Neodiprion lecontei: one gene and its partner. The protein of the gene in region 1 purifies or fractionates together with the protein of each later gene. This does not show direct contact. Links are inferred from orthologs where the notes say so. Each region holds a gene or a part of one and is shown in the gene's direction. Other genes may lie near its edges.

Evidence for each region.
Region 2: the proteins of chromatin assembly factor 1 p55 subunit (region 1) and chromatin assembly factor 1 subunit A purify together in Drosophila melanogaster (affinity purification with western blotting; 3 studies listed by BioGRID, with this or other methods). This does not show direct contact. The link is inferred for Neodiprion lecontei from reciprocal best matches to the Drosophila melanogaster genes Caf1-55 and Caf1-180.

Annotation. Positions count from the first base shown.
Region 1 is NC_060260.1:23,050,417-23,054,016, reverse strand, and holds the start of chromatin assembly factor 1 p55 subunit, read left to right. Parts: upstream 1-911; 5' UTR 912-1,031; coding exon 1,032-1,050; intron 1,051-3,600. UniProt on the Drosophila melanogaster protein: Core histone-binding subunit that may target chromatin assembly factors, chromatin remodeling factors and histone deacetylases to their histone substrates in a manner that is regulated by nucleosomal DNA.
Region 2 is NC_060263.1:21,171,543-21,177,935, forward strand, and holds the start of chromatin assembly factor 1 subunit A, read left to right. Parts: upstream 1-2,742; 5' UTR 2,743-3,331; intron 3,332-3,439; 5' UTR 3,440-3,449; coding exon 3,450-3,531; intron 3,532-3,752; coding exon 3,753-4,738; intron 4,739-4,838; coding exon 4,839-4,969; intron 4,970-5,124; coding exon 5,125-5,504; intron 5,505-6,214; coding exon 6,215-6,384; intron 6,385-6,393. Other genes in the region: G-patch domain and KOW motifs-containing protein, read right to left, coding at 117-427, 555-658, 2,003-2,387, 2,465-2,604.

The DNA of each region.
Region 1 (3,600 bases):
CGTTTGAGAATCGTTTGAGAGGGTTTGAGAGTAAAGAAAAATCGTTTGAGAGTTAATAGTTTTTTCGGAAACCTGATCCTAATTTTGGGTGTGAAGTTGGCCCCCATATTTTCTATCTCCTCAAAAAATAGACTTAGACGTTTAATTTTTTTTTTAATCGTTTGAGAATCGTTTGAGAGGATTTGAGAGTAGAAAAAAACTGTTAGATAGTTAATATTTTAATTGATATACCTCCGTGAAGTTGGCCCCCCGGAGTTATTATCTTTAAATCTAATTAATGCACCAACTTCACACCCAAAATTAAAATCAATTTTCCGGAAAAACTATTAACTCTCAAACGATTTTTCTATACTCTCAAACCCTCTCAAACGATTCTCAAACGAATTGCATTAATTAGATTTAAAAATAACAACTTCGGGGGGCCAACTTCACGGAGGTCGGAATACACCCTCAGACAGCCCCCTGACACATGCTGCTAAAAGTGGTTCGCCAAATGTCCCTCGATTCTGCCGCCAAGTTCCACCACTAGTGGCGCCAGTAGTTACCTGACGAGCTTGCGCGCGGTCAGCGAGGGCAGCAAGCGTGTCGGAAGTCTACCTGGAGTCTACTAGCGCCACGTAGAGGAATTAAAAAACGGGGACAAGACGCGTACAATTTTTTAGTATACGAGCAGTGGTGAGTGTCAGGGGGCTGCCCTCATACATCTCGCATACGATATCTAGGGTCTTTAACTCGAGAATAGAGCCCCTATACGATAGTTTCTAGTGTATAGCATTCAAGAAATTTCGTGGAGTGTTGTTCAACGTCACAGCAGCCACCAGAAAACACTATGAAATTTGTCGTTTTATCTAACACTCTAGAGGTGCTTCTAATTTATAGTGAGTACATCATCTATGTCCTCAACGATGTATGGCTGAGGCCTTTGACGGTTCCCGGTTTCGGAGCATTCGCGTCTTTTTGGCGGGCGCAGTGTTTGGAGGTAGCCTAAAACTAGCTGGTTGTACAGAATATCTATTTCAAACCAAACACAAATGGGAGACAAAGACGGAGGTGAGCGTGCTGAGCGATACTTTAAGCCATAATCAAACATTATTTCTTCTATCTCTACGCACTTAAGCAATTTAAAGTTGTTATTGATACATCCCAAATCCCTTGTGAAAGACTTGTATTTTTACTAGCTTACGCGCTTCACATTCCGAATCGCATTCACAGCTCGCGTAATAAATTTATTCCTGTATTACATACACCGCGGATTTGCAAGATTATAATTTCGCAGCTCCTAGGCAATCGCGATTCTACGCATCTCTCAAATATTTCAGAACATACACAGCATCTACTTTTGCACAAAGTCGAGCGCAACGTTCGAGTCCCTCTTCGACTAGTTATTTGTAGAGGCCGGTAATTTTTTACTGCAATATAACAGTATAAGATAATATTTTTGAGCATACGTACATTTTTATGCCAACTTTGAGCGATTTGATAATAGCACTGAGTTCGAGCCATTATGAATTCTATTTGCTCATTTTTCATTGTTCGCATCTTCTGTTTGAATGGATGAGGTTATCAGCTGATTTGAAACATGAAGTAAACTACTGAATTATTTTAATGTAACCCAATGCCACAAGTACCCTATAGAAATTCATACATTACATCCACTTTAGACAAAGCAATTGCTTCATGTTTATAGATACTGAACAATCTTTAATCGAGTTTCCGAAGATGCAGCCTCACCCAACGAAACATGATCATAGTCATATGGTCTGGGAATGTTGTAATAGTGAGGAAACCTTTAAAAATTTCAAAGTCATTATATCGAAATGAAATTACACGTTTAAAACCCTTTGCTCGCTAACTGTGATAAATATACTCGTTACTAGTCCTTGGCGTCTAGTTGCTAGAGAGAACTGAGCATTAGAACCCCATAGAATTCTATTTGCCACATGAAAAGTTAGGAAAAGCTGGAAATATATATATTTTTTCGAATTGAGAGAATTACAAATTTGCATTCAAACCTGTAGTTTGTAGTTTATTATATTAAACATTGGAAACATTGGAAATGCTCATGCGGATTTGAAAATAGAAAGTAGGGAAAGGGCTGATCCAAAAAGTCTTACATACACTCATTTAAACTAAGATGAAATGGATGTATATTTCGTTTATAATATTCTTGAGAAGATCAATTAACATGAAAAATGTTTTATAACATAGACAAAATACATGTAAAGCAATGAAAAATAATTCCTTAACGTGGGAAAACATTATTTTATATTTTGCACATGTGCATTATTTTTCATTATACTTTCAATTTTTTCTGGTCCAGTAGTTTTGCATACATACCATGCTGAAACATTTCAGTTATACATTATATCATTTTTGTATATGTCTTTTTCACTTATGTGTTATTTATTCTGGTCCCTAGCACCATTTCTCTATATCAACGACAATTACATTGAATTGACAATCACCTAGATTTTCAAATAAACATCATCAGTATAATTGTTAAAGCTTTCCGTACTATGTATGCAACCAATTTGCAATGAATAATTACTGCATAAAGTTTATTACTTATCTCGCATCCTATATTTATTCAATGGTATTGGTTCAGTTTACTGTAAATAATATGATAAAACGCCAACTCCGAAGCCATTTAAAATCATAAATTCAAGTAAAACGCATTAAATAAGAAATCATGGATTTTCGTTTTAACATTATTCTCACTTATAGATCATAATTTTCATACTGTTTAAAAAACGTCTAAATAAAGTTTTATTGTGTTTATTCTCTTACTCAACATTATAATGTGATTTACAATAATGTCACTATGAGGCTAAAGAATTAGTTGGAAGAATTGTTCATAATATTTGATCAGGTTTGATTTATTGAAACCTGTTGATTTGATGTCGAAACTTGAAAAATTCAGATAAAGCATAGGAAATCTAGCAGTATTTTTTGATACAAGAATGTAAAGGTAGCAATACCGCACAGCGAGTGCAAAGGCATAGCACGAGCTCAACATCGCCACCTTTTGATCGTGTATCCCATGCTACTTTTTTATTACATCTGCAACGAAAATTCTGGTTTTATTTTTTTATGCACCGTCCACCCGCATTGAAGAAGTCTTTTAAACCTGGGCACGAGACAATTTTTTTTTTAATCTGCTAGCGGTACAAGAACACTTGCCTGCAACTCTATTGGCCGCTAGCGGTTTGAGAAAGTTTTCTGGCACTGGTGCCTAAAAGACTCCTTCAAGTACCTGTGGATGGTGCATAGAAGAGCGCTTTTGGTACAGGTATTACAAAAAAGAATTTTAAATGTTGCATTTACTAAGACTTTGTACAGTTGTCCAACACCGGACGCTACCCATGGTATGATGTGTAGTTATATTTATATCTTGCCAAAAAATATCAGAGTATTCTATTTCGTTATTTTGTAATCATTGCAAACAAGTTTTTCTATCCATGTTTAGTGATTATTAAAAGGTGTTAAATTCATACAGAATAGAAGTTTTTTTGGGTAGTTATTTGTTTTTGCAAATTTTCAGCAGTCATGTTCCGACAATGTTTAAAAAATGTAAATATTGCATAGATTAAACTAGAAAAC
Region 2 (6,393 bases), on another chromosome or scaffold:
AAAAGGATAATTTCGGAACAACTTGCAATGAAAATCATACGCAATTTTGTAACTTATAAGACATTGTACGATAATCCAGTTTAAAAACCCCGTACAATTAGCCAAAATCTACTAACTTAGGACTTTGCCATTTTTCAGATACTCTTCTTTTGTCACTGCTTGAACCACAGATTCATTTACAGACACGACGTTTCCTCCTAGTGCCATTTTCACTATGAATCTACCCGCGTCGTCGTCGAGACCTTCAATCTGCCCATAGGAATCCTTTTGCTTTCCAGCAATCAGTTTGACAAAAGCTCCTTTTATAAGTTTCAGTTCTTCTTCTTCCTTTGTTCTTGGTTTACTGTTTTGTTTCTGCATTGTTACTTTATCTGCACCAAGTCCCATTCCTTTTGGCCTCAGGGCAGGTATAGATGCTTCGACTAATCTAAAAAAAAGATGCAATGTTTACTTTGTTATGTGAACTAATCATTTCGCATTCAATATGTTATTATATTAGTAACTGGGAAAAGTAGGTTTGACTCCAATGTAGTGTTATTTGTAAATATTCGTACTTCTCATTTTTACCAATTCCTTTACCAGGTTTCCACCCCATGCCACGTAGCATAGCCATTCCATAAGCGTCAATTGGAATGTTCTCATAGTCCTCCAAGGTTGACTGAAATAACAAATTAGCTCTATGAAGGATATTTAGTTCTATTTTTTGTATCCAGAAGTGACCAAAACCATGGATTGGTAATTTTTTTTTGGTAATTTTCAGTGGAACCTAAGGTCTCTGACTTGAAAGAACTCATTTTATCCGTACAGTAGAAGTTTGATAACTTTGCAATAGAATAGATCAAGTTCAACATCGAACCTAATAGCTTTTGTACGAAAATGTTCATGAAAAACTTGATCACGCAACTACAGGTATGAGTAATATTAAAAAATTTAACTCTAAAATGGTGACTGGAAAAAAAGGACAATTGTTATAAATTTAATTAAAACTTGTAGTCGACATATAATATTACAAATGATACATATTGCTGATAAGAATCTCGATGCAGAGTTGGCAAGGTGCGCTGTTAATAAGAAGTAATGTTTAGGAAAGTAAAACCTTTTTATCGTGAAGAATTTGTCATTTGTAGCACCAAGTCTTCTGTAAACCAGTTTTCATAAATGTGACCAGTCAAAAATGCACTGCCATGACGTTTATAACAACCCAGAAATGCGCTTTTTGAAATATTTCTGATTGACCTAGCCTCAACAAATTTTCCAACGACGTTTAACAGAAGTTTGAATGTCCATCTGCAAAGTCGTATATTGTCGACTGTTTACTGGTAAAGTACTCACAGTAGAGGGGATATGTTGTTTGCATGCATGGATATATGCATGGCAAGAAAGATAATTAGGCGGTGATTCAGGAAGTAGCTAGTTATCGAGCTCCTACTATAAATATTTGAAAAGATGTGGTCATAAGGTATTCGGGAAATTATCAAGAAGGAAATATCACCAGAAAAATTTAGACAGACTTTCAAATATTCCTATTCCATTACTTTTGCAGTGTACTGATTTGATCTCATTTTTCCAAATTCATTGCGTTTCATAAATATTAAAAGAATCGTCAACGGTCATTAGAATATTTCTGATTTGTTTGACAGAAAGTATAATTTTTTATACTCACTGAACCCAATAAATTAACACCGTCATTCGAAACTCCAGTAAAAATATTCGTACTTGTAATGTGTGATAAATGGTTGCTCGGCAACTGTAGGAGACCGTTATACAAGCATGTGCCATGAGCGTGAGGTACCGTTTTGTTGGCACAACCTGCTAGGCTAAGCCTCTTGTCGATTTCTGTGCACTCATGTGTGGATTCGAATTACTATAGTTCCGAGGCAGTCAGATTTACGGAAAACTCAGTATGATAAAATATAAGTTTTAAAAATGCCTCTTTGGGAGGTAGATAAATTTTACAAAGCATTTGGTGTAGAAGTGAATATTACTAAGTATAATAAATTACCTCTTGTTCACCAGCTAAGGAGGCGGCATCTTTAACAGGTAAGGAAAAAATACTTGGGTCTTTGCCGTTAGTTTCTGTGCTATGCAGATCTTGTAGGATTTCTTGCGCCGCTTGCTCTTCCAATGTGTTAGGCAGTTTGGATTCTTCAACTTTGACCTCCTGTTTTATCGTTGCAGATTCTACAGGTTTTATGTCAGCTTCGTCAGTGTCCATTGCGCCAATTGGCTCCTTTTTAACCACAATATCAACCACATCTCCATTTGAATTTGTTTTCACTTTGGGCTCAAAGATATCTGCGTCAATTTTATTAACTATTCTATCATGCCAAGTTTTTGATCCTCGCATAGGTATCACCAGCGGTTCATCTTCTTTTTTATCTTCCAAACTGCAAAAGCCAAATATTTAATTTAAGGTTATGTTTACAAATATTGGTATTCCTGTGCTGCTAAAGTGGCGGCTTACCCAATAACCTTTATCGCTTTCTCATCCAGACACTCAATATAATCAATCTTCTTTTTGTCGTTTTGCACTATATTTTTCAAAACTGGCTTTTTTATCGATTTTGAAAAGCCGAACGAAATTTTCCTCACCTCGTCGGCCATGATTGACACTTGACAAGCTGATCGTGGCTTTAGACTGGTCTACGAATCATATAAATTCGAATTGCAACCATAGGCAGTGAGCATGGACTGCTTCTCTAGACAACAAATGTGTCCCACCCAGCCCCCTGACACACGCTGCTAAAAGTGGTTCGCAAAATGTCCCTCGATTCTGCCGCCAATCTCGACCACTAGTGGCGCTAGTAGTTGTCTGGCGTACCAAAGTCAGCCTGTCAGTAATTTTATATGTATAATATATCTTCCGTCACCGCCATGATCAGGAAAGCGCTAATGAATCGAGAATCCGAATAACGCGAACGTGGTATTTTTTTCAGGCTCATAAAGCTCCATGCTCAAGCTCGTTTTGATTTGGCTTCAAAGCACTTCGAAGTGAAGTTTCGGAACACATTGCCGTACACAAAGTTCTCAAATCACAAGGCAGAAAACCTGTTGAATTCCCGCGCGATTTCTTATGTGGGAGGTAGTATCGTGTTATTTATCAAACGATTCAACAATTTGAAGTAAATATTTTCAAAGTTTAATCGGTATCTCACCTGCAACATTTCTTCAATGACATGAACATATTATCAATTTTTTTCATTCTCTATTGCTTATTCAACTTCATGTCAATTTAAGAGGTTATAGTATTGCGAGCAGTCAGTAATGATTTGCCTCGTTAGCATTTATACTTCTATAAGACCGGGGATCGTTTGACTAGCAACAATCAGAGGTGAAAAATTTACTTTAAAAATCTATTAATATTTTCGACCGGGCAACTAATTTTCTTGTCAGATTGTAAAAAATTCTTGACGTGCTCTGGATACGAATATCATTGCAGGTATTTTACAATGAAAGTTATGGAAGTCTCCGTTGAAGAAAAGGATTGCACTAACGAAATAGTTACACCTCCCAGAAAAAAAATGAAGCAAGGTAATTTTAAATACTTTCATTTAATTTTGCGATTCTATCTATTACAAGAGCCAAATTCACAATTTTAAAGTTTTGGACTCTGGTGAACAACATCTTCAAGTATTTGACATGAGCCAAAAATTTTTACAAATCATTGTATTCACAACGCAATTGATTACACAACCTAAGGTCTGTAATAAATTTCAGCAAGAGATTTGTTTAAATCCTTTGTTAATTTTCAGCTCAACTGCCATTTCAAATGGTCAGTTCATTGGGGTCGCCCAATACAATCGGAAACAAGAAGAGGAAGCTAGAATCACCATCACCGGTGGAAAGCAAAAGTCCTAGGACTGGGAAGATAGTTAAAAAACAAAATGCGTCCAAAAGGGCCAAGAGTAGTGAAGTTGAAATTATTGAAGTGGATGTTTCGGATGTGGAAAATGTTTGTGATCAAGACAATGTTAAGGCGTTAGTGGAATTTAGAGAAGAAGGTGCAGCCAAGCATGCTGAAAAAAATCCGATTGATAGTGAAAGTGATGTCAAGAAACGTAAGGATTACGGTTCGTTAAACAGGTTTTTAAAAAAAGCACAGAGCAAAGAATCAAAGGATGATCTCCAACTTTTAGCAATGAGCGATTATGAAAGCGGCAGCAGCAAAGATAGTGATGCTTCATTGAAAGTAAAATTAGACTTACAAACATCAAAGGAAGTTCTCGAGCAAAGCTCCAAGAAAATCGTAGAGCAAAGTTCGGAAGAAACTGCGGAACAAAGTTCAGAATCTAAAAATTCTACAACTCAGATCAAAGAGAATAGCGCCGTCTCGACAAACATTACAGAATCTCAGTATAATATCGAATCACTTCAAAATACTGAGCAGAACACCAGTACTGAGGAGAAGAAGCTCCTTCCTGAGGAGACGAAAAATTCAGACACTGATTCAACTTGTCATCGAAAGGATAGCATACATTCTGATAGCATTAATGCTAAGAATGACGAATCGGATTCTGATACTGGTGGTTCATCATCGGACGAAGATGTAGACGACGACCCAGATAAGTCTAGTAATGAGAATACAGAAAAGGATAAAACTTTAGAAGAAAATGACGGAAGCAAAACACCTAGAAGTGAAAAGTCGGGTGTATTCAAAAATAGAAAATTAACTCCAAAACAGATTGAAAGACGACTTCAGAGTGCTAAGAAACGCGAAGAGAAGCAGCAGTTGAAAATGGTATGTTTCTTTATATTTACTTCACCCAAAGTATCTTTTGTGACTTTTATGACAAGTAAGTAGTTATAACAGTATTATAGTTTTTAACTTGTTCACTCAGGAAAAAAAGAAAAAGCGAGAAGAGCAGCGTGAGAATCGTAGAAAACAGAAGGAGGAGAAGGAGAAACTTGAGAAAGAACAAAAGCGGAAAGAGAAAGAAATGAAGGAGTTGAAAAAGCAAATTGAAAATGAGTGAGTACTAAATACATGTATAATTTCTATCTAGAATGTCAGAACTGTAATAAAAATACCATATACCTACTCGTGTCACAAGACATTGTGGTAAAGATTATAACAATTTTTTTGTGCAAACTTTATATTAGTTTAATCAGTCTTAATTTTTGCAGGCAAAAACAGAAAGAGAAAGAGGCAAAGGAGGAGGAGCGTCGGAAGAAAGAGGAAGAGGCTGAGCGTAAAAAACAAAAGGCTGCATCTAATTTTGCAAACTTCTTTGTTCCGAAAAAGCAGGAAACAAAAGCTCTTGAAGAAGACGGTGTAGTTAAAGATCAAAACTTCATGCCATTTGAAGTCAAAGTAGATATGAAGGTAGCTCCGATAACCAGGAGGAATCTTAATAATGAAACAAAATTAACTTTCGATGGATTGTTCAACAAAGGAGTCTTGAAAAACGAATTATATCTCAATCAGCTCAAACGAAATCGCAATGATGTCGGTAGATCCGGAAGAACTTGGCCATGTGAGACCAAGGATGATGTTGTTATCATTGGTAATTAACTATTATGTATCGATAGGCTTAGGTGCATTTCAATACAAAGTACCCAATTTCAATTCTTCTCCATCGATTTTTTATTCTGAACTGTCAGTGGCAAGGAATACCTTGAGTTTTTAATTTCCCATTTCGTGTCTATCGAAATAATATTTTTCCCAGAATTTTTCCACATAGCTTCGCAAATCCACTTCCAATGGTCTCTAAAATAAGAATGAGCATTCATTTTGCAAAGTTTCAGCCAAATACTTCCTGTTGTACATTTCGGCATGGATTTATTCCAGTTGCTTGTTTTTTATTTTTTTTTTTTTTTTAATAAAATTCATTTGTGCGGTTATTTAGTACTTATTTTTGTCATTGGAAAAAAATGTTAAACGAGCATTGTCAAACCCGTGGCGTAAAAAAATGTCATACATTCGATTCATTCAATTAAACTCAATTAGAAGTGAAGTATAGAGAAACCAATTTGAAAGAAGTAGTGAAAACGTAAATAAAAGCTATAAAATAATTATCCAGGTAATCAGTAATCAAATTGAAAAAATTGTTTTCACAGTGGATGGTATATGGATTATTAAATTTCAAAGGACAATGTCTACGTCAGTTACTACAAAACTCATTTGATTTATAGTTCAGATATATAAGTAAAGATAATAAAGTAAGGGTTATCTATTTCGCACCATGCAAAGTAATCTTGATAATATGTTATACAGATGAAGAAGATAGTTCCTCTGATGCGGTGGACCAAGGGGATGCCGCAGTTGTAGAAAAGCATCATCCCAAGTTCTTTATGTTCGCCGAGAATCGTCGACCACCCTTTTGGGGAACGTGGAGGAAGAAAAGTACGCATATAAAGCCACGGAAACCGTTTGCTAAAGATCCGGTAAGTACT